Saccharomyces cerevisiae S288C: one gene and its partners. Changing the gene in region 4 together with the main gene of any one other region gives a genetic interaction. Each region holds a gene or a part of one and is shown on either strand. Other genes may lie near its edges.

Region 1 (8,302 bases), on a different chromosome or scaffold from region 4:
CAAATATAATTCCATTTGAAAAATTCTTTTTCTATGGAATTCTGAATGCAAGATTAACAAGGAAAACTCAAATAAAATTCAAAGGTAAATTGGTGCCGTCAAAATATTGGTGGGATTTTTTGAAGTTGCAAGTGCCATTGATGACAGATGCTCAGTTAGAATTACTTGACATTCATGCGTGGTTTCAAAAATTAGTCTCTAATTATGCACCACATCTAAGCGATGCCACCACTTCATAAAATCACGTAAATACAGATAGAAAACACATTGAGGCAACAGGAATGAAAATGCACCCTACTACTCTCTGAACCACCATATGATAATATTCCAATCTATTGTGCTTAACATTAAAATTGTTCAAACTTGGTATAAGCAACAAGTGGGAGAATTAGGTGTACCTCAAATTTTTGAAAAAGCACAGAGTGTTACTAAAAATTTTAATATGTATGTATATCCTTTTCTAGCCGTCAAAAGTGTAAGTAATTTCGAAAAAATAGATTCTATTTCAGTAAGTCAGAGATTCGAGTCGCCTCCCGTCTTCCGCTTTCCCAAGCACCATAGGCACAGCCGGCGCCGTCCATGATAGTATGTTCGCCTGCAAATCTTATGCGGGAGTCTTGACCATTAGACATTGCAACAACCATATCAACTGGATCATCTCCTGGAAAACAGGCCGAATAAGCACCGCGTGAGTAAGGATCGCGTGTCCAGTTGCTAACGATGATGTTTCTTAAGACTGGTTTATTAGCGTTTGCAATGTTTTCTATCGGCCTCATTCCGTCGATGACATCCTCAGAATCTAGACACTTCATAATCTTGTTCAGCACAGGTTGGAAAAAACTAAAAAGACGCTCTTTATCTTCTCTAATGGATTCTATGTGATTTGTAAGCGGTGCCTGCATCAACATCATAAAGCTTGCTACTCCTGTGCTTTTTGACAAATTTACGAAAAATAAAGGCTGGCTCCAACAAGTAACACTCGTATGCTTTTGAGAATCTTCCCTTTCTAGCATAGAGTCTAATTCATCTAAATTTTCCGCATTACGTACTATTTCGACAAATTCATTGGTAGAGTTAGCCAAAGTTACAATTTTTGAACTTTCGTTCGACCAACAACATTCTTCAAACTCAAAAATTACTTTACCTAGCGCTCCAAAATGGATCTTGTCAAAAGCATCTTGAATCACTGGTTTCAAGGGTGGTTGAAATTCTATTCTTCCCCGTAAATTTTTTTCAGGTTGTACAGACAAATTCAATACACTTTGAGGTACTGTAATAATAACATAATCAGCATTGTACACAGTACCATCTTCACAGTTCACTGTCACATTTTTTGAAGGTTCTCGTGTAATTGATTTCACTTCACAACTTAGCTTTAACCAATTTTGAGGAAAGCTTTGAGCAATTCTTTGAACCACAGAATCATAGTTCAAAGCAAAGGCGTTCCTTCCTTGGTGACCGAAGTATGTATCCTTGGCACTCAAAAGCTTCCAATCTAAGCCGTGCCACAATTCCAGATATCGACAGAGTTGTGGCAAATATCTTATTTGGTCATTTGTGAGAAATTGGCGTCTTTGTAGTAAGTATTTCATTACTAATTGAAAAAAGGAGCAATCTGAAACTCCTAAGTGTTGATGGAATTCTAACTCTGCGAATTTGCTCATTTCATTGTCCACAATTTCAAGAAGCAGTTCCTTGTCATGGTCTACCCTTCCACGTTCTTCGTCGATATAAATAAAATTATCGTCATCAAAAACAAACCTCGTTCTCCCATCATTCAAACTCAGTTGAGCCTCTTCCAAAAATAAAGGGTTTGTCAACGTATCATGGTGCCAGCTAGCACCTATATCATATTTCCGACCTTGATAGCCTGTGACAGTTTGCAACCTACCACCGACCCGATCTCTGGCCTCAAGAACAAGACAATCTTGAATACCGTTTTGGTGTAGCGTAGATGCAGCTTTAAGCCCAGCAATACCGGCACCAATTATAATAACCTTTTTTTTGGCTGGTGAAACTGTATTCATTCTCACACGACCACTGTTTTTGCCTTTATTAACTCACTTCTTGTTGGGAACAAAAAAAGAAAAACAGAAATAAAAAACTGCAGCAGAGCAAATTTGAAAATAGTTACCATGGTTTAAAAAAACTCCTCTTTTATATCTTTAGGATACCAAAAATTGTCTATTGTTTAAAAGATCTCATAGCGTGACATCCGTATATGGGTGGGTGACCCGAAATTTGAGCCTCCTTCTTGTAAAACGAGAGTTTGTCATAGCAACGGACCAACATGTGGTAAGGTGAGGTTGACTCAATTTTTTCAACATCTTATATACAATATAATAATATGTAGGTAAACGTGTCCATAAAATGGTTTTATGGAATAGAAAAAGAATCCTTATGCAAAATTTTGGTCAAACCATAATAAATTGGAAAATAAATCATCATCAAACACATTAGGAGAGTTCCCTATTTTACTGACAGTATCAAGAACATCTGAGGGCAATCCAGTATCAGTACCTAGATTTGCTACTGCACTTTCCGGAGAAATTGCGATTGAACCGTCGAAGTTAGTGGTATTATGAGACCTAGTAGCTAATGGTACTCTTTTGCTATTGTTATGTGGATTTTCTTGTCTTTCATCAGCATTTTCTTCTCTTTCACCAGCATCAACTTCAACATCCGCATCATTATCGCCAACTTTCTTGAACTGCTCAAACTTATTTCTATTAGGGGTGTCATCACCATGATCAGTTCCGAGAGTAGCTTCCAATTGCAAAGCAGAATCTCTCAGTCGTATGCAGAACATATGATTCAGCATTTTCAAACACCACAAGCACTCAGGAAGCATTGAAGGCCGATTTTTTGGCTTAGAGCACTCTAAGGTTCGCCATATTTCTTGGCAGCTTTGCATGATAGCTTTATTTTGAGTTACGGCAATCCCTGCGTGCAGGTAGATAATACATATTAAATTTACCGTGAATAGTTGAGAAAGGTTTAACCACCACGGAACAAAGAAAAGATTACTTCTCGTAATTTCAGCCAAATTTTCAATAGCCATTTGACAATGAGAAATTAACAATTCAGTATCGACGACATATTCTAGGGATTTATTATTTGCGGTAGATGAGGGGGCGATTAGACAAAATAATTGTCTTACTTCGAAAGTCAGCCTTATATCCAGGTATGTCATGAATGGTTGAACTTGATAGAAGTAACGATAATTGTCGTCGTACGCATTGGTTTGACTTCCAACTATAAAGGTGTCATACCATTGACCAAGTTGGCTGCGCAATTGCACGGTCTCGTTCAAATTTAAATCCTGTGCGTCTCTTTTTAAAAACTGTGTCACTATTATGGACAAATCAAGCATTTGAAAAGTCTCTTCGTGAAACCAATCATCTTCTTCTTGTAAAAATTTCTTTGACTTCACTAGATTCATCTGTTCGCACATCTCGCTCGCGGGTAATGATAGTTGGTAGAATCGACCCATTTGAAAACTTATCAACTTATCCATTATAAAACAACACCAGAAACAATGCCATGCTTTTGATTCATCATAAGTGGAATGGATCTCAGGAAATTTGTTTAAATATAGACTCATCCCATTACACATGTTCACCGCTTGACTTAACGCGTTCCAGCACGCCGTCTGTCTGTAACAGGTTCTGAAATAGAAGGTTATCAAAAGCCACGATTGTATTAGTTCGAATGATTCCCACTCAAAGGTCAGCGTGTTGATTATTAAATAAGCGTATTTGAATAAATTTTCCTCTATGGAGGGTTTTTTGATCAAAATAGATTTTTCCTCGAATGTGATATTTAAGGATGTGTTACTGTAGGTTCCTTGCCCTTTCTGACCATCTAGATGCCCTTCTCTGAATCTTAGTGTAGTAGACAAAATTAGATAAAGCATGGAAGTGAATAGATTCGCAGATGAATTATTTTGTTTACCTTGCCGTAGAAATTTATTGTTATATTGCTGCCAAAATGTCGCTTCGTGAATGATACTGAAAACAGGATTGATCTCATCAAAATAATACCTTAGTAACTTATTGATTAAGGATAAGTGAACAGGGTCATCAAAGTCGAAAAATTTAGACTCATGCCTTATATTTTTTTCTTGGCTTCTAAAGTCACCCTTATACTTTAAGTAATGGCCTCCTGACAAGTTCCAACCATAGTTTTGAACTCTTGGCCTTTTCAACTTCGCGTACTCTATTGTCTGCGGAGATAGATCCTTTAAAATAGATACACCAAGGTAATAGGGCAGAATATTTTGGTAGCGTCGGTGAAACCTATACTTATCTAAAGAAAATGTCTGCCAGGGTGATTCAAAGTGATCATTAACAGTGTTAGTTATTTGAGAGTTGATTATCTTATTCTCTTTAGAATTGATGTTGTTATTATGAAGAGCCTCTGCAGAGTCACATATTGCAGACCTGTGATTCGTGTCACAGTCTTCCTGACTATTTTTCATGTTGACCACTGTCGGGTTTGCATTCACATCACTAGCATTGGTTCTAGTTGTTCTAATTGACGATTCCTTGGTCGTATTCCCCAATTTTGAACTCAATTGCAGAAGTAATTTAGCCATGTGATCCTCCGGAAAACTGTTATTGTTATTTTCTCCATTTAAGTTGCTTCCGGAATGGAATGTATGGTTTGGCCTACCGCTCATGAAGGGTAAAGTGGATGATATATGATGATAATGTGAATTTGGATTGGGAGAGTTGCTAGCAGACGAAGATACACCATCTGAGGGGGCATTTATGATAATATTTGATTTACTTAACAAGTCCCTAGGAAAAGACTCACTGGTTTCTGCATATGTCTTACTAACGTCCCGAACAGCTGATGCGACCTGTCGTCTTCTTCTTTTACGGTTTGTAGCTTTGAAATCATAACGGCATTCTTTTTGATGTTTAGAGCAGTTCAGACAAGGATTGTTACCGTCGCATTTAACCTTTCTCTTCTTGCAAAGTTCACAAGCTTTTTGAACCCTGAGTCTACCTTTTCCATTTTCTTTACTTGCGGCTGTACTAGTATCAAGTGCATCATCAGTATTCCCGATAGCTGTCATTTCTCTGAACCGTTCCTTTCTATTAGTATGGGCCCATGTCCTATCAATTTGCCGACTTCGTGCTAAAAAAAACTGAAGGAGAACAATCACTACGATGATGAGCTTGATTGCTACTGAACGATGCTCAAATACAAGTATATAATATATTTCATGATTGATACTCATGTTCAGCCGGGTATCTTTTTTCTTTGTTTTGAGAGGCTGACGGTGACTCTTTTAATTTGAACAAGGAAATGTATCATGCACGTATGACAGAGAGAAATAGTAGTACAAAAATCAAATATTACGTGAATACGTGAGATGAATAGCCGATATTAAGTAGATAATGAGAGGTTTCAGACGAAGCACATAGTAAACTCAGAAATATGCACTTGCGCGATAAAGTGAAATTACCTTCATATTCTTGCAAGAGGAACTTATATTTTTGAGAAGAACTAGCATAAGCTTGCTGTGTTTAGTGTTCCTTTACGCAATTAGCTTTTCGAACGTCCAATAGCATATTTGGTTTGTTTCAGCTTTAATTTTTTTTATTTTGAATGCACTATATAGCAAAAAAATTAACTAAAACCTAATCCATTTTGTTATAAATAGCTTTTAAGGTTGATATTAACGATTCTGTATTATGAGAACCATTTATTAGATCAAGTGAATCAAAATTTTTTGAAGCGATGAGAGCATTTTTTAAATTTTGCATAAATTTGTTTTGCATTTTTGCTTTGTTGTGTTCATATCCTTTACTTCGTAACAGTATAACTTCGATTAGCATTTTGCTTGCTTTTACATAGTCACCCTTATTCATGTAGGCGATCGCTAAATTATAACGAACCCTTGTAAAATTCGGTCTTAGTTGTTTGCATTTATTGTACGCATTTATCGCAGAGTGATACGACTTAGTATTGGCCAAAATAGCACCATATCTATTCCATATTGTTCCATTATTGGGCTTTTCCAGTAGTAAAAACTCTAAGCATTTCTGAGATTGCTTTATTTTCTGATCCGAATAATATAAGATTGATAATACTGAATATATATCATACTGATCTTTTTTTTCTATACCCATATTCAACAGGGATTCTAGAATATGCGCCAAATGGGCCTTTTTCGGAATTTTATTAATGCTATCTTTGTTTTCCCCCGCAGAAGGTTGGAAAACCTTCGAAAATTTTGAAAGAATCCATTTGTGAAAAAGTTTCAATGACTCTGATTCATTTTGTTGATTTATATGGTGAATTGCTAAGTTTTCCAATGCAATTGTATTATTTGGATCCAAATTTAAGCAATTTCGCAAAGCAAGCTCTCCATTGCTTTCGCTTTCATTTTCAAAATTAACTATACCTAACTTCAACCATGCATTTATATGGCTTGGATCTTGTGAAATGGCTGCTTCAAAGGCCATTACTACTTCGTTCAAATTGGAACCGTTGTCCATTAGTACACATCCTATTTTATATGGGTCCCGTTCCGTTATGTAGATGTTTGATTTTAGGAATTGATATGTTTGTGGTACGGATGACAGCATATGCATGAAATCAATTGTTTCTTCGTATTCTGCCACATATTCATAACCAACAGTTTTTTCTTCTACATTGTTTTCTATCTTTAGCTCATTTAGTAACTGATTTTCGATTGATTTGAACTGAAATTCCCAGCCATTAGAAACAGATGAGTGTTCATTGTAAGATATTCGACAAGGATATATACGATTTTGCTGATATGCCGTACTATAATATTGTGCAAAGTACCTATTGTGCAAATTAGCGGAGCGTTTCTCATGTTTGTTTCTACTGGGCTTGGTCACATCAGCATTTTTATTCTTGGGGAAACAAGAGAATTCCTTTGACCACTGGTTCTCAAGTCTTGAAAATTCTTTTTCGCTGACACCACTATGTTGAGATTTATCTGCCGGTAGTGCGGCCCGAAAATCTATCTTACCAATACTGCTGCCGGTTTGACAATTGGTAAAGATGTAATCTATTGTTCTAGCATCTCGCGCGGCGCTATCGTTAGTCTGAAAATCAGAGAATTTACCCAGATTATTCCATTTCAAGCCTAATCCATTGTTGATCTTATGAATTGGGTTGTCACCAGTTATGGAACAAGTAACTTCGTTCATCGTGCTTACAAAAGGTACCCTTTATTCTTAATGATTCTCCACTCAAAAAAAAAGAATAAAATAAAATAAAACGGATAAGAGTACGAAAAAAAGTGATGACCTTTTCTTTATTTATTGCCACTGTTTGGGTGAGAATATTGGGGTAAGAGCGCTTTGCCCCAAGTTTTCTGTACGATTTCAATGCGTATCAATCATCCTCTCCGGCGTTAGTAAGGTACTACCAAGGCCTCTACCGTTCCCAGGAAACTCTTCGGGTTTTGTCTGCGCCGCGCCGCTCTGATTGCTTTTCTTTTGGCGGCTATTTAAGTTCCCAGGTGCACATCAAAACCGGCAGGAAGCAAAGTAAATTAAGTTTGCACTTACAAACCCAAATAAGATCTCAATGTATTGCGTGCGCTCATATTCACATATGCGCAGGAACAATCTTGTCATATCTGAATCAGGCTGACGCATCCATGTCGTGTACATTTCTTGTAGGCTTGAAACTTGAACGGTACGAGAAACAAATTGGAAACGAATAAAAAAGTAAGAGAAGGAGGACATCCTCGTCCAAGTTGCGGTATGTATGCGGCAATGAACTACTCCGAAAAAATGCGGAAAAGAGGCATATTTGACCCAAAGCAGTAAAGAGTTTCGTTATATCAACCGTGGCGGGATAGCATTCGGTGGTCTGACAATTAATAGGATGATCGGGCTAGGGCTGGGCTTGTGGAAAAAAGGATAGTAAAAATTTTCTCTAGTAGCATACGATGTGATGCTTCCAATTTTCAGAACATGTTTGTACAATAACTCTATTATTGATTTTTTTTTTTACTAATATCGTTTGTAGGGTAGAATTATTCTTACTAAATATCCTTTTCAACTTAAACATATACGGACGCTTGAGATACACTCTTGTCTTAATCCGCTCGATCTTGGTAAGGGCGTTGTGACGCTTAATATAAAAGGCAAGCGCAGAATATAATTTTTCCGCAGCATAAGCACCCAATCAAGACAATTCTATAGGAATAGTGTGGCATACGCAGTGATTACCGGAAACCCTTCATAATGTTTTCCTTTTTCCCAACAAGATTGAACTTTGATATCGTTTTGTAACTAAAATCTTT
Region 2 (7,892 bases), on a different chromosome or scaffold from region 4:
CCACCTGGCCTCTTAATATGGTTTTCAAAACTGTGCCCTTGACCGTCATCCCGTTGTAGGCAGTCAATTTGTTTTTGAAGTAGACACTTGAATTACTTATTTTATGTTTACTTGCAGTATCAAATACCACCAAATCAGCATCGTACCCGGGAGCTATAGTGCCTTTTTGGTGAGATAGTCCTACCTGATGGGATGTATTTTTACAGCACCATGTAACGATATCGACCAAAGAGCAGCCTTGGGTAAACATCAATGGCAAACCTAGTCCGACGGAAGCGATTCCTCCCCAAGAATCGAAAAAGTCACCTTTTTGCAAGTTCTTCAACTCAGGGGTGCATGGCGAATGGTCGCTCACTACTGAGCCTATAACACCTTCACGCAAAGCGTCCCATAGGCCTTGGCGATTAGACTCAGAGCGGATGGGTGGACAACATTTAAAGTAGGTGGCTCCGTCTGGGATCTGCTCTGCAGCAATACACAAATAGTGGAAACAAGTCTCTGTTGTGACTGGTAGCCCTGACGCACGTGCCTTTCTGATCAAGGGAATTGCTTTCATTGATGCCAGATGAACTATATGTACAGGAGGAACTGGTCCATTTCTGGCTCTCAAGCATTCGAGAATCAAATTGATGGCGTCTATTTCGAAAGAATCCGGCCTCGAGGACAAAAACGAAGAATATTCACGATGGCTTTGCTCGGGTTGCTGTTGGTCCTCATGTGCCTTGGGCAACTCAGCATGAAACATCATCATGGTATCCTCCTCGGCTAAGACCTTCAAGGCTTCTTCTATATATTCTTTGCCAATTGGAGGGAATTCTTCCACACCAGAATCAAGCAAGAATCCTTTGAACCCGCGAACGCCAGCTTTGACAAGCGGAATTAAGTCTGGCAAGTTGTGTGGTACCAGTCCACCCCAAAACCCAACATCGCACCACATTTGGCCCTCAGCAGCTTCCAATTTAATTCGGAAATTCTCCACATTTGTTGTGGGAGGAATAGCATTTAGCGGCATATCAACCACCGTTGTGACCCCGCCACTAATAGCAGCTTGAGTTCCAGTTTCGAATCCTTCCCAGCTAGTCCTACCGGGCTCGTTCAAGTGAACATGAGAGTCCACAAGTCCAGGCAGAATTGTACATGGAGATACGTTCTCCAGCGTATGTATTTCATATTTGGTTATCTCAGTTTTCTCCATAACCACGGAGCCTTCTAAAACATCCAGAATCGTGCCTGATTCGGTCGAATACACAATAGTCGCAGGTTTATTTGCACCATTGATAATGACATGGTCGGAAGTGATGGCATTGATAGGCATCTTTGTTCTTCGCAGTATTTCACTTTTTTTTTGCCTATACGTTTTTGCGAAATATACACTTTTCTAACCTAATTAAAGATAGCTAAAAGAAAAAGGGGTACCTTCAATTACAAGATACCAGTAGAAACTCATCACTTTTGCGTTACCTCATCATTGTCCCCTTCGATGAGATATGCCTCCTCTATATAGATAATTAAGCACCGCAATTTTGAACCACTTCTCCTGATAAAGTTCCATCAGTCCACCATCAACACATTTGCGCCTATTCGATGATCCGCAGTAAGGGACAATAGAATCGAAACATGCAGTTCCTTTCTTTCCTGCAATTCTCGGGTCTAATGTGGCTCGAGGGTATCTCTTATCGGTATTACTTTCTTATCAATGAAAAATTTCTGCCAGGGAAAATGCGCCCGCTTTTTTTCCGGCCATCCTTACTCGCTGTCGCATACAAAATAGCGCCTCTAATCTAGTTGCGATAAGGAATGTGTATGTGTAATTGAAGATCCAGGATGTTTTCCTTTTCAGGGAGATGAGAAGGAATAATAGGATGGATTGACCGCTTTGCTGTCACGTCGATAAGGTTCCTTTAAAAATTGTGTCCAATGATTAGCATAGAGAGGTAGAGTATCAGAGAAACAAGTTTGTAATCGAGAAACTTGATCTGCTAGTGTTGAGCATAGAAGGCTAGGAAAACATGGGGAAGAAAAAAAAAGTATAAATAATTAGCTTGATGAGTAGTTTGAATATATATGTTACTTTAGTTTCCCTTTTTGACCTTTTATATTCATCTACATCTTGTGATATAAAACATCAACAAAGACGAGAATGGCTAACGACGCTCTAAGTGCTATTTTCAGTAATCCTTCGAGGAAAGGTGTCCAACCCTCCACATCTATTGTGTCATATACAAACAATGAAGATGATATTATAGATGTGGAAAATGGGAAGTTCAACAAGAACAAGAATATCAACACTAATGTGTATGTGGACAACTCCTCAATAGAGGAGAGCGAAGTCGTGCCCTTGCCCGAAACAAAGTCCATCTGGAGTAAAATATACTACGATTTCATTGTGTTAGACAAGACAACTTTGAATGTTTCGTTGAAAGAGTCGTTCTTGTATAACAGAGACTTGAAACCGGTTGAAGAAGAAAGAAGGTGTTGGTCCTGGTTCAATTACTTATATTTCTGGCTGGCAGACTGTTTCAATATTAACACATGGCAAATAGCTGGTACAGGTCTACAACTAGGTCTGAATTGGTGGCAATGTTGGCTTACAGTTTGGATCGGCTACACTTTTGCAGGTATCTTCGTAGTATTGAACTCGAGATTTGGTTCCGCATATCACTTATCTTTCCCTATTACTGTTAGGGCCTCATTTGGTATATTCTTTTCTATGTGGCCGATTATAAATCGTGTCGTGATGGCTATAGTATGGTATGCCGTGCAAGCCTGGTTAGGTGCAACGCCCGTGGCACTGATGCTAAAATCTATTTTTGGCAAGAATCTGGAAGATAGAATCCCAAACCATTTTGGTTCTCCAAATAGCACTACTTTTGAATTCATGTGTTTCTTTATATTTTGGGTGGTCAGTATACCATTTGTCCTAGTGGCTCCTCATAAAATCAGGCATTTATTCACAGTAAAAGCAGCTTTGATCCCCTTCGCAGCCTTTGGATTTTTAATCTGGGCTTTGAAGAAATCGCACGGTAAAATTGAGTTGGGGACGCTGAATGATTATTCACCTCATGGTTCCGAATTTTCATGGATATTCGTTAGATCCCTAATGGCCTGTGTTGCTAACTTTGCCGCTTTGATTATCAACGCCCCTGACTTCGGTAGATTTGCCAAAAATCCTCAAGCGTCTTTGTGGCCACAATTGGTTGCCATCCCATTGTTCTTCGCCATAACATGTTTGATCGGTATCATTGTTACTGCGGCCGGTTATCACTTATATGGGGTTAACTATTGGTCACCACTGGATGTACTTGGTCAATTTTTGGAGACCACTTACACCAGAGGTACTAGGGCTGGTGTGTTCTTGATTTCTTTTGTATTTGCCTTAGCTCAACTGGGTACAAACATTTCTGCCAACTCTCTGGCATGTGGTGCTGATATGACGGCTTTGTTTCCAAGATATATTAATATTAGAAGAGGTTCTTTATTCTGTGTGGCAATGGCTCTATGTATCTGTCCATGGAACTTAATGGCCAGTTCAAGTAAGTTCACCAGCGCTTTGGGTGCTTATGCAATTTTCCTTTCCAGTATTGCTGGTGTCATTTGCGCGGATTATTTCGTAGTAAGAAGAGGATATGTGAAATTAACACATTTATTCCTGGCACAGAAGGGTTCCTTTTACATGTTTGGAAACAAATTTGGTGCCAATTGGAGGGCCTTTGTTGCGTATATTTGCGGTATCGCTCCAAATTTACCAGGTTTTATAGGTGATGTTGGAGCTCCAAAAATTACGGTTTCAGAGGGTGCAATGAGGTTATACTATTTAGGTTATCCGGTAGGTTTCTTTATTAGTGCGGTGATATACCTCATATTATGTTACTTTTTTCCTGTCCCTGGTACTCCCGTAACCAATTTTCTGACAGAGAAAGGATGGTTCCAAAGATGGGCTTATGTTGAGGACTTCGAGCAAGATTGGAAGAATGAGTTACGTAGGGATGACCTCTGCGATGACACAGTCAGTATCTATGATGGCACCGAGGAAAAGATAGTTTACTAAATAAAAATCCCAATTTATTCTCTTACCAGTAGTGATCAGGAGAATTGATAATTTCTTCAAAACACCTTAATATTCGTTCTGTGTATTTTTATGTACCTTTCTTAATCAAATTTATCAGCTTCATACATGCATTCCCGTCTGAATAATGTACTGATGATTAGCTAAACCGTCATCAACCTACCAAACTTGCGCTTGTTTGAGCCTATCAGAACTCCGGATAATTCCGACATCTTATCTTTGACTCGAATTAGCGATAAGATAAAAACACAGGAACCACAATGAAATTCAGCTGGAAGAAAAGTCTAAATTATAGACACATTTTCTGAGATCAAATGCTATAAAGGAATGGAAGTGCATTTTGCTATGATATGGGGAAATTATGAAGCCGATCAAACAATTAATTGTATCTAATCGGTCTCTTCTTTAGAAAAATGAAGTTTTTTAGTTTGGCAGATGAGGCAGAATTTAAGTCAATAATCATTTCAAAAAACAAAGCAGTAGATGTTATAGGATCTAAGTTAGGTGGTCAAGTGGTTTCTTTTTCAGATGAATGGTTTGCTTCTGCTGAAAATTTAATTCAGCCAACTGCTCCTATAAGGGATCCTACCAGATTTGTTCATTCAGGCGCATGGTACGACGGCTGGGAAACACGAAGACATAATGAGATGGAATACGATTGGGTTATCATCAAGATGGGAGTCGCTGCTGCCCATATTATTGGTGGTGAAATTGACACTGCGTTTTTCAATGGTAATCATGCACCATTTGTATCAATAGAGGCGCTCTATGACGAGGGCGAAGAAGGTAATATAGTGGAAGATGACTCGCGTTGGGTTGAGATTGTTGAGAAATTTGAGTGTGGTCCTTCGCAAAGGCATCTTTTCGTTAGAGGCAACGGCCTTACTAAAGAAAGGTTTACTCACATCAAGCTGAAGATGTACCCCGATGGAGGAATCGCCAGATTTAGATTATACGGAAGAGTTGTTCCTCCAGAACTCAAAACGAAGGATCATATAATTGACTTGGCTTATGTTTGCAATGGTGCTGTCGCTTTAAAGTATTCTGACCAACACTTCGGTTCAGTTGATAATTTGCTACTGCCAGGTCGAGGTCATGATATGTCGGACGGCTGGGAAACCAAAAGATCGAGACAACCAGGTCATACTGATTGGGCGGTAATTCAACTGGGCAGGGAGTCTTCTTTCATTGAGAAGATTATTGTTGATACGGCACACTTCAGGGGGAACTTCCCTCAGTTCATTACCGTGGAAGGTTGCTTGAAGGAGTCAGAATCAAGTGAGAACACTGGTGAAGGAACATGGGTAGAGCTAGTTGGTAAGTCAAAGACGGGGCCTGACAAAGAACATGTGTATGAAATACGTAAGAGTATAAGAGTCTCCCATGTCAAATTAACGATTATTCCAGATGGAGGAGTGAAAAGAATAAGAGTTTGGGGGTACTGATAAATACTTAACTACTGTATATTTTAAACCAATGCACTCTTGGCACTTTAAAAGTAAAGGTATAAATGTAGTTAAAAGTTTTTGTTTTGATAATTGAATGTTTTCATTTCGCTATCCCCACGCTACTTTATTTACTTCTTCTTCTTCACGACAAAACATTAAAATTTACACTCTATAAAAAACAATCATATTTCTATTTATTTTTGTGAGTTGACAAATCTTATCATAGTGATTAGAATCTGTAAACCGATCTCAATCGTGTCCAGAAACAGCGTGCCATCCCTTTGGAATGTTTTCGCCAGTTTATTTTGCAAACCCGAGAATCCTGCACAACCTAATATTACAATGTCTGAATCAAGCTTTTTAATATTTTCGCGATATATAATTTCTGCTATCTGCTGGAAATTTTCTGGACTATGTAGGTCGAGGACCTGTAAATCAGTAGATACCGTACCTTTCCATAAATTTTTGTTAACTGTATTCCCTGTCAAGAATTTCGATTCCACAGAGTTATTCAATATTGGAATCCATTCTTTATTTGAAGTAATAATAGAGAACTTCTTTCCAACCAAATTGCAATAATTAATACTACTATCTAATAACCCAACAATAGAAACATCTGCTTTTTCTTTAGCAGCTCTATCCTTTATCTTTGCTACCAAAGGATGATCTGAAAAACAGGCAATTAATATCCCGTTGAATTTCTGAAAGTAATATACCGACTCCTGGTCATCAATTAAGAGGGGAAGACAGGCCTCCATACTTTTAATACTTGTTTCCTGCCCATCAATTTGTGGTGGCGACGTGTCTGGCCCTGTGAAATAACTGATTTTACATGATTCCATTGAAAAAGTCTTTTCAATGGTTTCCCGCAAGGACACCGTCATTGACTTCGAACTATTAGGATTCACAACAAGTATTCTTGTTTCCATCGTTCGATAATTTGCTTAGCTAGTTTTTCTTTGTTCTTTTGATTTTCCTGAGGTAAGAATTAGTAATTCAGTTTCCTTACATATTCTCGCTTCAAAGGCTTAAATATGATCTGGCATGGAGAAAAAATATGAGTTCAATTTGTCATACCTTATCAGGCCTTATCAGCTCAAATTTGATTGGATTATGCGTTAAAACAGCGCCTAAAATTCTTCGAATATTCGTCAGGTTATGTACGTATACATTCTATAATTTACTTAAGTCAACTGGTTTGGCACTTGGCTTAATAATTTCATCATACAATAAAGTGGTCAAGAAGTCGCTAAAGATTTTACCAGTGACTTCAGGCAAAAAATACTTGGCTGCCAAGGCAAACTTGTTCTTTTCACCCAGCGGACTTGCTGAAGCCAATTTTGCAGTCTCTTCATTTAATATCTTAGCGGTCAATTCTGGAGTTACTTTGTCACCGGTATCACTTAAGACAACACCATGTTTAACCCACTGGTACAATTGACAACGTGATACTTCCGCAGTAGCGGCATCTTCCATCAAATGATTAATTGGGACACAACCAGATCCCCTTAACCAAGCCTCCATATATTGTAGGCCAATATCCAAGTTTACTCTGATTCCCTCAGTAGTGACTTGAGCATCTTGAATCTTCGTATTCAATAAATCAGATGATGTAACATGTACATCCGGGACAAAATATATTTGATTTGCTGTACCCATGTTACTGAAAACTTCATTACAAATCGGTGCCAATGCTGGGTGTGCTACCCATGACCCATCATGCCCATTCTTCATTTCTCTAATTTTGTCATTACGAACTTTGTTCATTGCAGCTTCATTAGCCTTTGGATCATCTTTTATGGGGATTTGGGCAGCCATACCACCCATCGCATGGACCCCTCTACGGTGACATGTATTGATCAATCTTTTCACATAAGCATCCATAAAAGGTGAAGTCATAGTCACTAGATCCCTATTTGGCAAAACGTGTTCAGGCAAGTTTCTCAGTTTTTTAATGGTCGAAAATATGTAGTCCCAACGACCACAGTTCAAACCGCTTGAATGTTCTCTTATTTGATAGATAATCTCCTCCATTTGGAAGGCCGCTGGCAAAGTTTCAATCAGAACAGTGGCCCTAATGGTACCGCGGGGCATTCCAATAAAATCTTGTGCAACACAGAATATGTCATTCCATAGTTTTACCTCCATATGGTGCTCCATCTTTGGTAAGTAAAAATAAGGTCCTTTACCAATTTTAACTAACTCTTTAGCGTTATGGTAAAAATATAAACCAAAATCGAAGATGGAAGCACTAATCGGTTCATCATCTATGTAAAGGTGCTTCTCCACCATGTGCCAGCCACGAGGTCTGACAATTAAAGTGGGCAGTCTTGAAATGTCATCCTTCAACCTGTACTCCTTTCTTGGTGTCTTGAAAT
Region 3 (8,124 bases), on a different chromosome or scaffold from region 4:
CATGTAATTCCTTTTTCCCTTTTATGCAATCTATAATGTTAATCAGCGTAGATCACTATATACGCTTTTTTTTTTTTTTTTCAGCTCCGATTAGAGAGCAAAAGAGATGTAACATCGATCCTGCTATAATTAGAATACAAGTGTTGATCTTTAATTGTACTGTTTCTGCGAAAGCTATCGAGCATTTGGCTGTATTCCACTGTCCATTGTATTTTTAACTCTCCTTTTTATCATTCTGAAACATAGAGCTGTTTTGACAAAATTCAGTTTTTTCTCAATTAGTGCTTTCATTCATACGTTCGTTACAAGCTTTGAATTTTAACTTTATTTTCGGGCTTCCACCTTTGCTTCATTATTTTACTTCAGCTCTTTAGCTTTCTGTGACATTCAATTTTATTGTATGACAGCACGTCGTTTGATTAATATAGTTCCTAATACGTCTAAGCTAGACCCTTTAAAGGAGGAGGACTCAACGCATCTGAAACAAAATCAACCTAAGAAGTTTTCCACAAAGGAGTTGATGCTTTCAGAATATACCGAACGCAAAAGTTGCAGCCTTCCGTTGTCTAAATCCCGATCAGGCAGTAGTGCATCCAGTAGCACTACAGGTTCGAACGGAAAGAATATTGGAACAAGACGCCCTAGCTCCAACCTAGATTTCAATTTCGCTAGCCAAGATGTTGTTAAAAATGTATTAGGTAATAATAATCCACACGTACCCACAGCGAAGTGCATTAGGCCAATATCAGATGATTCTATAGGTACATCGAGCACAGAGATATTTTCTTCATCGCACTCAAATACGACATCTGATTCTTTATGTACATCAGATATAAGCTCAGAAGAGGGTGAAATAGCAAACAGTAAGATGGAGGATAACTGCTTCTTCAAAAGTATGAGAGAAGCTGACCATAGAAGCAATATTACGCCCTTAAAGAAAAGCCGACCGGGATCAATACTACAGAAAACACGTACAGCAAGTAGCGCTGATAAAACAATCTGCTCAATGAGTACCATAACTACATGCATTCCATCTCGTCAAAATTCGGTGTCAACTCCTAAACTCTCCAGGACAGTAGGGCTGCCTGGATCGAGCAATACAACCAACAGTATAGCCGCATCACAAACTTCATTCATAAGCGAGAATGACTCTCCTCTTAAACATCATTGCATGAGTACCGCAACTATCCAAGAACCAAAACTCATGCCGATCACAAAAACGCCGTATGTGCATTCCAATAGTACTTCTGTAATATTACCATATAAAACAACCCAACTTACTCCTTCTCAACGTTACCGTTTAAGGAAAGAGCAAAATGACCAATCTTTGCGTAAAGCCATAAAAATGAAAGAAAAATTTTATGAAGATCAAGACGTTAACTTGGAACTTCAAGAGGGCGATGTCGACGGCTCGTTAATTTGGAACATTCCAATGGCATCTTTATCGACCAGTTCTTTTTTAACATTATCTAAGTTTAATAGAAAAGAAATGAGTTTAGATTCAGCGCGGGGGGATGAAGAGATATTAATACAGGAGAACAATTGCGAAGGCAAACAACACTCATCTTCGGCTCTCTGTGTGGACAAAACTTTCCATCAGGTTCATAGTACTAGAAAACATACATCAAATTCAAGTAACACTTTAAAAGAATCATGTCTGGACTATAAGGAGCTTCCGCCAACATGCATTCCTGGTATATCTCCTGTGTCTGATTCACAGTACATCCAGGATACAATGAAAAATCTCTCCCAAATATACCTGCATAGTTCCGAAAAAATCTCCAAAAGTATTCTTTCTGGTCGTTCAAGATCTGTACAGAGTTTACCACTGGAATTTAAAGAAGCCAGTAGTCAGGGAATGGAAGACCTAATGCTAGTTTCAGAGGACAAACTAAAGGCCGTAAGTCATTTCCGTCCGAGTTGGCTCCCGCCCAAGGATTTCAAAGAGAGGAAATTGCAAGATAAACAAATCTACAAAAATATCGACTTAGCATCAATGGAAGAGTTGCAAAAAAATAAAGAACGTGACGAAAAAGCCAAAAAGAATGAGCAGAATAAGGTCAAATTCCAGCATTTACTGGACCGAGGCATTACTCGTAACTCGTCATTAAGTGAATTAAAGAAAATTATTTGGGAAACACCTTTGATATCTAAAGTACGGCTTCAAATATATAGTCAACTTCTACAAAGTGACAATTGCTTGATAACAAAATGTTTTATTGAATCATTTGAGGAAGTAATGCAGCTACTCAACAAAATGGATTTTCCCAAAGATAAAGAATTTGAAATAAGACAGCTTATTGAACACGATGTACAGGAAAAGGTTTTTTATAAAAATGGAACAGATAAGCAAGTGGTTTCTGACTTGATGCTATTACTGCAACTGAAATCTATATCTCAACAAGGTTTGGTTACTGGTGATGAGATGCTATTCTACCATTTTTTAACTGATCAATCTTTTGGGACTTTGAAGGAAACATGGGAAATGGTCAACTTGATACAGATGACGTGCTTCAGTGAAATTTGCAAGGAAAAATACGATTCAAGAATATTAAATCCCAGAGGAATTGTTGCCCATCTTTTACGAAAAGATGAGTTCAAAAATGAATTCAATGGCGGATGTTTGAATAGCAATACATGGTGGAACATATTGCAAAGAATGGACCATAAACTTTTTATGTGGGTAATGGATGTAATTATCGTTCATAATGGCCAAAACTTTGCAAACTACCCCGTAAAAATGGAAATATTCAAAGACAAAGTATGGGAATACTATAGATCTAAGAAGGTTATTGTAAATTATAAGATTTTGGTTTCACTAACAGTTAACGTATTGTTAAACTACCACTTCGGATATGATAATCTGAAACATTTATCAGATTTGGATGATAAGCATTTTTGTATTCCACTGTATACGGAGGATAGTATCGAAGAGGAAAACCTCAATAATATTTTCACAAAGTGGTGGTTGCACTACTACCGAAAATTACGTTAGCGTGTATGTGGCACGTACTAAAAGTTTGGTGACCAGACTATCTCTTCTTAAGTTCATTTTCACTCTGAAACTTATAAATGCATACATACAGAAATTACTTTCGATTAATATAATAATATATTTTTAATAAACAATGAACTAATGCCCTTATTGTGTTTTGTTATTAACCTTTTCATCACCATTTTTTTTTGCTAGCTTCTACGGCATTCACTTACGTGCTGCAAAATTTCGCAGCATGGAAGAAATTGTTCGCGAAGAAAAAAGATTTCGCTCAGTGATTTGTAGTGACAATAGGTACCAGTGTTATCACTAAGTATATCTTTTAGTATATCTCTTCGCTTGAGGAGGGATCAAAAAAAAACAAACGTAAACGTGCACATAAACGTCAAGTACTTTTTGCAGGCATTAATATTCGTCTCCAACAAAGACAAATAAAGAAGCAATCTTTTCATTACCTTAAGCCAGTATCTATTGATATCAATCGATAAGGTTCGTTGTTATCGGTGCTAAAAATTATAAAGTGAAAATAAGAATCTTTTCATGTCGTGCTCAAACGGCATCTGGCCTACTGTATCTAATTTGTGCGGATCATTATCCTTCTTCACCTCTGTTATTTCATTGTTTCCACAAATAATTGAGACTTATCGAGATAAATCTGTCGATGGGCTATCGCCATATTTTTTGCTGGCTTGGTTATGTGGGGATATTACCTCGCTGATAGGGGCAAAGCTAACAGGGCAATTGTTATTTCAGATACTTTTAGCAATTTATTTTCTATTGAATGATTCTTTTGTATGTGGTCAATATTATTACTATGGCGTGCTGCATGAAAATAAATTGGCGACTGTCGGCCATGAGCCTAAACCTCTTCTTCCCGAACTGGTTGAAAATGGTGAGCTTTTGAGGGAGGAAGAGGACATGATACAAGGTGGTAGCAGTGCAGAAAGCCCTAGAAGCAGTAGAAGAAGGTCTGCCATTACAGCAGCCTTGGCTATAGCTCATACTATAAGTACAGCTAGCGCATATCCGCTAAATGTAGGCTCCACCCAATCACAAGTGGGGCCTCCCGGAGATGGTAAAAACAGCCAGCTGGGTACAATTTTATCTTGGATTGGCGCTTCCTTCTACGTAGGCGCACGTATCCCACAACTAATCAAGAATTACAATAGAAAGTCTACAGACGGCTTATCTCCCTTCCTATTTGCTACTACACTACTCTGCAATATCACGTATAATTTGAGCATCTTCACAAGCTGTAGATTTTTAGATAATCAGAACAAGAGGGAATTCATCGTGAATGAGTTGCCCTTTATATTTGGAAGTGCTGGAACAATTGCGTTTGATTTGATATACTTCTACCAATACTATATCCTTTATGCAACTGATATGCAACTACGTGAACTGGAAAGAGAACTATACAGTCCTGAAGAAGACAGTGCAGCGCAACTAGTGACAGAACGTACATCACTGTTGTCTGGTGAAACGCAAACATAGTTTTCCCTACGGAGTACTACCATTTATATTTAAACAATGCACTCTGCTCTTGGGATAGTCCTTGCGAGACCCTTTTTTCCCAATAGGAATACTACGTTCGTACTCTGTGTAAAAGTACCCAACTATAGTTAGCGCCAGTTTTACGTAAAACCGTCTATGTCTTGTTTGCATTCGCAACAGCTACAAACACATATAGTTTGTCACACTAATATTAATAATGAAAGTTATTATGTATTCACTGTGAACGCTTCAGTATACAGTACGGCAGTAAGTGTTTCATTCTGTTCTGGATTAATAATCTTTCACTTTGCCTAGCCATTTGGGGGCGGGTTTTGGCTGGGTTAGCTTCTCCTTAGTCATGGAGAAAAAAAATCGCCCGCAAGTATCTCGAAAAAGGAAAAAATGCCCACGCGTATAAGAGTGGACCCAACTGCTCGAGGTTTCAAGAGCTTGTAGATTAATTTCTGTAGTTCAGTTATACTTGCCTACAAGTGCTATACAGCAAATAGCGAACAGTACGAAAGTAAACATCATATTATCAATAATGGTTCACAACAAAGTTACTATCATTGGTTCAGGTCCAGCTGCACACACCGCCGCCATCTATTTGGCCAGGGCAGAAATCAAGCCAATCCTATATGAAGGTATGATGGCGAACGGTATTGCTGCCGGTGGCCAGCTAACCACCACTACAGAAATCGAAAACTTCCCAGGTTTCCCAGATGGTCTAACAGGTAGCGAACTGATGGACAGAATGAGAGAACAATCCACGAAGTTTGGCACTGAAATTATCACGGAAACAGTTTCCAAAGTTGATCTGTCTTCCAAACCATTCAAGCTATGGACCGAATTTAACGAAGACGCAGAACCTGTGACGACTGACGCTATAATCTTGGCCACAGGCGCTTCTGCTAAGAGAATGCATTTGCCGGGCGAGGAAACCTACTGGCAAAAAGGTATTTCTGCCTGTGCCGTGTGTGATGGTGCCGTCCCCATTTTCAGAAACAAGCCATTGGCCGTCATTGGTGGTGGTGACTCTGCATGTGAAGAAGCTCAGTTCTTGACCAAGTACGGCTCAAAAGTGTTTATGCTTGTCAGAAAAGACCATTTGCGTGCTTCTACCATTATGCAAAAGCGTGCTGAGAAGAACGAAAAAATTGAAATCCTTTACAACACTGTTGCGCTAGAAGCTAAGGGGGATGGTAAATTATTGAATGCCTTGAGGATTAAGAACACTAAAAAGAATGAAGAAACCGATTTGCCAGTCAGCGGTTTATTTTATGCAATTGGCCACACTCCAGCAACAAAGATTGTCGCTGGCCAAGTCGACACTGATGAAGCGGGCTACATTAAAACTGTCCCAGGCAGCTCATTAACCTCCGTTCCAGGATTTTTCGCTGCTGGTGATGTTCAGGATTCTAAATACAGACAAGCTATTACTTCTGCTGGCTCTGGTTGTATGGCCGCTTTGGATGCTGAGAAATACTTAACTTCCCTAGAATAGATGAATTTTCCATTATAAAATAGATACACTCAAATTTTTGTATACTTATCCAACAAATCGTTACTTTCTCCTTTTCTTTAATAAAAAGCAAACCATGAATTTTATTTCTTTTCCCCATTATTAGAGAAAGCCAATACATAATCTACATATATTGCGTGTCTGAATTAAACTTTTTAGACACATGACATAGGCCATCGGCTTACTTTGTAACGCGTGGTTGCCTATACACCGACTATTAAGTTATGACTAATATTATTGCTGCGCTTCCCCACCTGCATTTTTCTTGTCGTCTTTGCCAAAAGGAAAAAAAAACCTACGCAGATTGACTCTCTAAAAAATGATTCATGACCAGACAATTCAGTAAACATAAACTCTGTTGCATTCATTCTTCTGGAAAACTTTATAATAAAGCATCTGATATTACAGCTACTGACAACTAAGTGAATTTAAACTGCAATAATCACAAGAAAACTTAGTATTCCCTTATCATGTCCGAGGCGACTTTGCTATCTTACACCAAGAAATTATTGGCTTCTCCGCCGCAATTGAGTAGCACAGACCTACACGATGCGTTGCTGGTTATATTAAGTCTTTTGCAAAAATGTGATACAAATAGCGATGAGAGTCTTTCCATCTATACCAAAGTTTCGAGTTTTCTCACGGCCTTGAGAGTTACTAAACTTGATCACAAGGCTGAATACATTGCGGAAGCTGCAAAGGCTGTGCTCAGACATTCCGACCTTGTTGATCTACCTTTACCCAAGAAGGACGAATTACACCCGGAAGATGGACCAGTAATCTTAGATATTGTAGGTACTGGTGGTGACGGACAGAATACTTTTAATGTTTCCACGTCTGCTGCTATCGTTGCCTCCGGAATTCAGGGCCTAAAAATTTGTAAGCACGGTGGTAAAGCTTCTACATCCAATAGTGGAGCTGGTGACCTAATTGGAACTTTAGGCTGTGACATGTTCAAGGTTAATTCATCGACAGTGCCCAAACTTTGGCCTGATAATACGTTCATGTTTCTACTTGCTCCTTTTTTTCATCATGGAATGGGCCACGTTTCTAAGATACGCAAATTTCTTGGAATTCCGACTGTTTTCAACGTACTGGGACCACTTCTACATCCAGTTAGCCACGTAAACAAGAGAATATTGGGCGTTTACTCAAAGGAACTTGCGCCTGAATATGCCAAGGCAGCCGCTTTGGTATATCCAGGAAGCGAAACTTTTATAGTTTGGGGACATGTTGGGTTAGACGAAGTATCACCTATAGGCAAAACTACTGTCTGGCATATTGATCCGACATCGTCCGAACTTAAATTGAAGACCTTCCAATTAGAACCTTCTATGTTTGGTTTAGAAGAACACGAGTTGTCGAAGTGTGCTTCATACGGCCCTAAAGAGAATGCGAGAATTCTAAAAGAAGAAGTCTTGTCCGGCAAGTACCACCTTGGCGACAATAATCCTATTTATGACTACATCTTGATGAACACCGCCGTGTTATATTGTTTAAGCCAAGGTCACCAGAACTGGAAGGAAGGGATCATTAAGGCAGAAGAAAGCATACATTCTGGTAATGCATTACGTTCTTTAGAACACTTTATAGATAGTGTGAGCTCCTTGTAGACATTATTTCATATGTTATACTTAAACTAGATAGAGACGTTTTATTTGTACTAAGCTGAACATTACCCTAATTACGCGTTATAAGTTTTAATCCTTCATTTTGAAGGAAAACAAATAAACAAAAAGTTGATGTGGAACAAATACAATGTGCGCGGATATCTTAAGCAACTTCGTTAGTTACAGTCCACACAAAGCGAAAAAGGGCTGATAAACACTCATGGACGAAGCGTCACATCTCCCAAATGGGAGCTTGAAGAACATGGAATTTACGCCTGTAGGATTTATCAAATCCAAGCGAAACACCACGCAAACACAAGTTGTATCGCCTACTAAGGTTCCAAATGCCAATAATGGTGATGAGAACGAAGGCCCTGTTAAGAAAAGGCAGAGAAGAAGCATTGATGATACAATTGACTCCACAAGGCTATTTAGTGAAGCTTCACAATTCGATGACAGCTTTCCAGAAATTAAGGCTAACATTCCGCCTAGTCCAAGGTCAG
Region 4 (3,253 bases):
CAAGAAAAGAGCCCTTGTCGAGGCCTTTTACCGTACCAATCTACCTAATATGTTCCAAGTGTTGATGACCGTGGCCATCTTCCTCTTTGTTTTATATTTACAAGGCTTCCGTTACGAATTGCCCATCAGGTCAACCAAAGTGAGAGGTCAAATTGGTATCTACCCCATCAAACTCTTTTATACTTCCAACACCCCAATCATGTTGCAGAGTGCATTGACTTCTAACATTTTCTTGATCTCTCAAATCCTTTTCCAGAAATACCCAACCAATCCATTGATTCGTTTGATCGGTGTTTGGGGTATCAGGCCGGGCACCCAGGGCCCTCAAATGGCCTTGAGCGGGTTGGCCTACTACATCCAACCATTAATGTCTTTATCCGAAGCTCTTCTGGACCCTATCAAGACCATCGTCTACATCACATTTGTTCTTGGTTCATGCGCAGTATTTTCCAAGACATGGATCGAAATCTCCGGCACTTCCCCACGTGACATTGCCAAACAATTCAAAGATCAAGGCATGGTCATTAACGGTAAGAGAGAAACCTCCATTTACAGAGAATTGAAGAAGATCATTCCAACTGCTGCTGCTTTCGGCGGTGCTACCATCGGTGCTCTTTCTGTTGGCTCCGACCTACTAGGTACTTTAGGTTCTGGGGCATCCATTTTGATGGCTACTACCACCATCTACGGCTACTACGAAGCTGCCGCCAAGGAAGGTGGGTTTACTAAGAACCTCGTTCCAGGATTTTCTGATTTGATGTGAATATAAAATGAAAATAATATCCAAAGAAAAAAAAAATCGCATTTAGCCACACCCCTCCCTCTATTTTTTTATTTTGTTACCATAGTTTTATCAACGCCTTCTTACACCTGTATAGAGCTAAATAACTATATATATGTATGCGCAAATAATTCCTAGAAAATCGTCGATTTTTATAAATTCTAACCGCCGATTAACAATATCATACGCGATCTAAATTTATAATAGGCGTGAAGCAAAGGAAGTTGATAAAAAAAAAGTAAAGAACTCCTCATAGGGGGCTCGAACCCCTGACATTTCGGTATCCTTGCTTAAGCAAATGCGCTTAAAAGCCGAACGCTCTACCAACTGAGCTAACAAGGATGAGTTCTTCGAATTTTCCAGTCTAAGATAGACAACCCATCAAACTGCATGGTCCCGGGCTAACTTCTGCTCTCTTTTCCGGACGGATGGAATCGCCGCTTTTGAATTCACCTCCGGGGTATTATTATTATTCTTAGTAGTCGCGGTCGTGCGGACACCCGGAGTTATGCGGGCCCGAAAGCTCATTATGTAGTAAAGCTAGGTAATGTTAAGGGCGTAAGAGCCAACGCAAGGCAGCAATAGCCTGGTATTCCCACATATCAAGAAAGCTTAAAAAGTTGAGACAGGGAATTTGAAGGCGAAGATTGCCGAACTGGCCAATACCCACTACTTTTTTTTTGGTTTGCTTGGTTTCTTCCTGTCGCTTGCCAACTTGTGGCATCTTCCCCACACTATATTATAAGGATCGTCCTATGTATAGGCAATATTATCCATTTCACTCGCTAACAAATGTACGTATATATATGGAGCAACAAGTAGTGCAATTACAGACGTGTATTTTGTCTTGATCTTGCTTTTTGTATGATAGGCCTAAGAATAACAGTGCGAACATATAAGAAACATCCCTCATACTACCACACATATGCCAACTCTAGTAAATGGACCAAGAAGAGACTCTACCGAAGGGTTTGATACCGATATCATCACTCTTCCTAGATTCATAATCGAGCACCAGAAGCAATTTAAGAACGCTACTGGTGATTTCACATTAGTACTGAATGCCTTGCAATTCGCGTTCAAATTTGTATCTCACACCATCAGACGTGCTGAATTGGTTAACTTGGTTGGGTTAGCAGGCGCTTCCAACTTCACTGGTGACCAGCAAAAGAAGTTGGACGTTCTAGGTGATGAAATATTTATCAATGCCATGAGGGCTAGTGGGATCATCAAGGTCCTTGTATCTGAAGAACAGGAAGACTTGATCGTTTTTCCCACAAACACGGGCTCATACGCAGTGTGTTGTGATCCTATTGATGGCTCCTCAAATTTGGACGCCGGTGTCTCCGTTGGAACTATCGCGTCTATATTCAGACTGCTACCAGACTCATCAGGTACTATAAACGACGTACTGAGATGTGGTAAAGAAATGGTAGCCGCTTGCTATGCCATGTACGGATCCTCTACGCATCTAGTATTGACATTGGGTGATGGAGTTGATGGGTTTACCTTAGACACAAACTTGGGCGAATTCATCTTGACTCATCCTAACTTAAGAATTCCGCCTCAAAAGGCCATCTACTCAATTAATGAAGGTAACACCCTCTACTGGAACGAGACTATAAGAACATTTATTGAGAAAGTCAAACAACCCCAAGCAGACAACAACAACAAGCCTTTCTCGGCTAGGTATGTTGGATCCATGGTTGCTGATGTTCACAGGACGTTTCTTTACGGTGGCCTTTTCGCATACCCTTGCGACAAGAAGAGCCCCAACGGAAAACTGAGGTTGCTTTATGAGGCCTTCCCAATGGCTTTCTTAATGGAACAAGCAGGGGGAAAAGCGGTCAACGATCGCGGAGAGAGAATCTTGGATTTGGTGCCAAGTCATATCCATGACAAATCTTCTATTTGGTTGGGTTCTTCAGGTGAAATTGACAAATTTTTAGACCATATTGGCAAGTCACAGTAGTTCAATGATCGCCTTCTTTTCTTATTTTCTTTGTTCTGTACTTTAGTACGCGAAAAAAAAAAATCTGTATATGTCCTTATATATATATATATTTATATATATATATGTGTATGTATGTGTACCGTAAGCATTACTCCTTCTAATAATGAAAATTCTTAGGAAAAGAGAAAGGAAGTAGCGAATGGAATGGGATGGAAGTTTTAAAGAACATTAGAATTTATCCTTTGTCAAACTTCATCACATCAACCAAGAACTATATAAACCTACCAAATGAATTAAGAAACCTAATTAGTGAAGAGCAGGAGAGTAAACTAGGGTTCTTGCACATCATTGAAAGTGATTTTAAACCTTCGGTAGCGCTGCAAAAGTTGGTGAATTGTACTACGGGGGACGAAAAGATCCTAATCATAGATATAGTATCAATATGGTCCCAACAAAAGCAAAGACAGCATGGCGCGATCTACATGAATTCGCTATCTTGCATAAACATCACGGGATTA

Evidence for each region.
Region 1: mutations in FBP1 (region 4) and FMS1 together harm fitness less than expected from each alone (positive genetic interaction), as found in Saccharomyces cerevisiae (one large-scale study listed by BioGRID).
Region 2: mutations in FBP1 (region 4) and DAL2 together harm fitness more than expected from each alone (negative genetic interaction), as found in Saccharomyces cerevisiae (one large-scale study listed by BioGRID).
Region 3: mutations in FBP1 (region 4) and TRP4 together harm fitness more than expected from each alone (negative genetic interaction), as found in Saccharomyces cerevisiae (one large-scale study listed by BioGRID).

The regions. Positions count from the first base shown.
Region 1 is NC_001145.3:309,102-317,403, reverse strand, and holds FMS1 (polyamine oxidase), read right to left. Parts: upstream 2,028-8,302; coding exon 501-2,027; downstream 1-500. Other genes in the region: MAC1 (Mac1p), read left to right, coding at 1-239; STB4 (Stb4p), read right to left, coding at 2,399-5,248; PEX9 (Pex9p), read right to left, coding at 5,652-7,196. UniProt on the Saccharomyces cerevisiae protein: Involved in the production of beta-alanine, a precursor of pantothenic acid. Multicopy suppressor of fenpropimorph resistance.
Region 2 is NC_001141.2:406,328-414,219, forward strand, and holds DAL2 (allantoicase), read left to right. Parts: upstream 1-4,479; coding exon 4,480-5,511; downstream 5,512-7,892. Other genes in the region: DAL1 (allantoinase), read right to left, coding at 1-1,315; DAL4 (allantoin permease), read left to right, coding at 2,141-4,048; DCG1 (Dcg1p), read right to left, coding at 5,709-6,443; malate synthase DAL7, read right to left, coding at 6,688-7,892. UniProt on the Saccharomyces cerevisiae protein: Utilization of purines as secondary nitrogen sources, when primary sources are limiting.
Region 3 is NC_001136.10:1,178,266-1,186,389, forward strand, and holds TRP4 (anthranilate phosphoribosyltransferase), read left to right. Parts: upstream 1-6,481; coding exon 6,482-7,624; downstream 7,625-8,124. Other genes in the region: SBE2 (Sbe2p), read left to right, coding at 401-2,995; YPQ2 (Ypq2p), read left to right, coding at 3,536-4,489; thioredoxin-disulfide reductase TRR1, read left to right, coding at 5,034-5,993; SPC110 (Spc110p), read left to right, coding at 7,842-8,124. UniProt on the Saccharomyces cerevisiae protein: Catalyzes the transfer of the phosphoribosyl group of 5-phosphorylribose-1-pyrophosphate (PRPP) to anthranilate to yield N-(5'-phosphoribosyl)-anthranilate (PRA), the second step in tryptophan biosynthesis.
Region 4 is NC_001144.5:873,246-876,498, reverse strand, and holds FBP1 (fructose 1,6-bisphosphate 1-phosphatase), read left to right. Parts: upstream 1-1,706; coding exon 1,707-2,753; downstream 2,754-3,253. Other genes in the region: translocon subunit SEC61, read left to right, coding at 1-763; PSY3 (Psy3p), read left to right, coding at 2,945-3,253.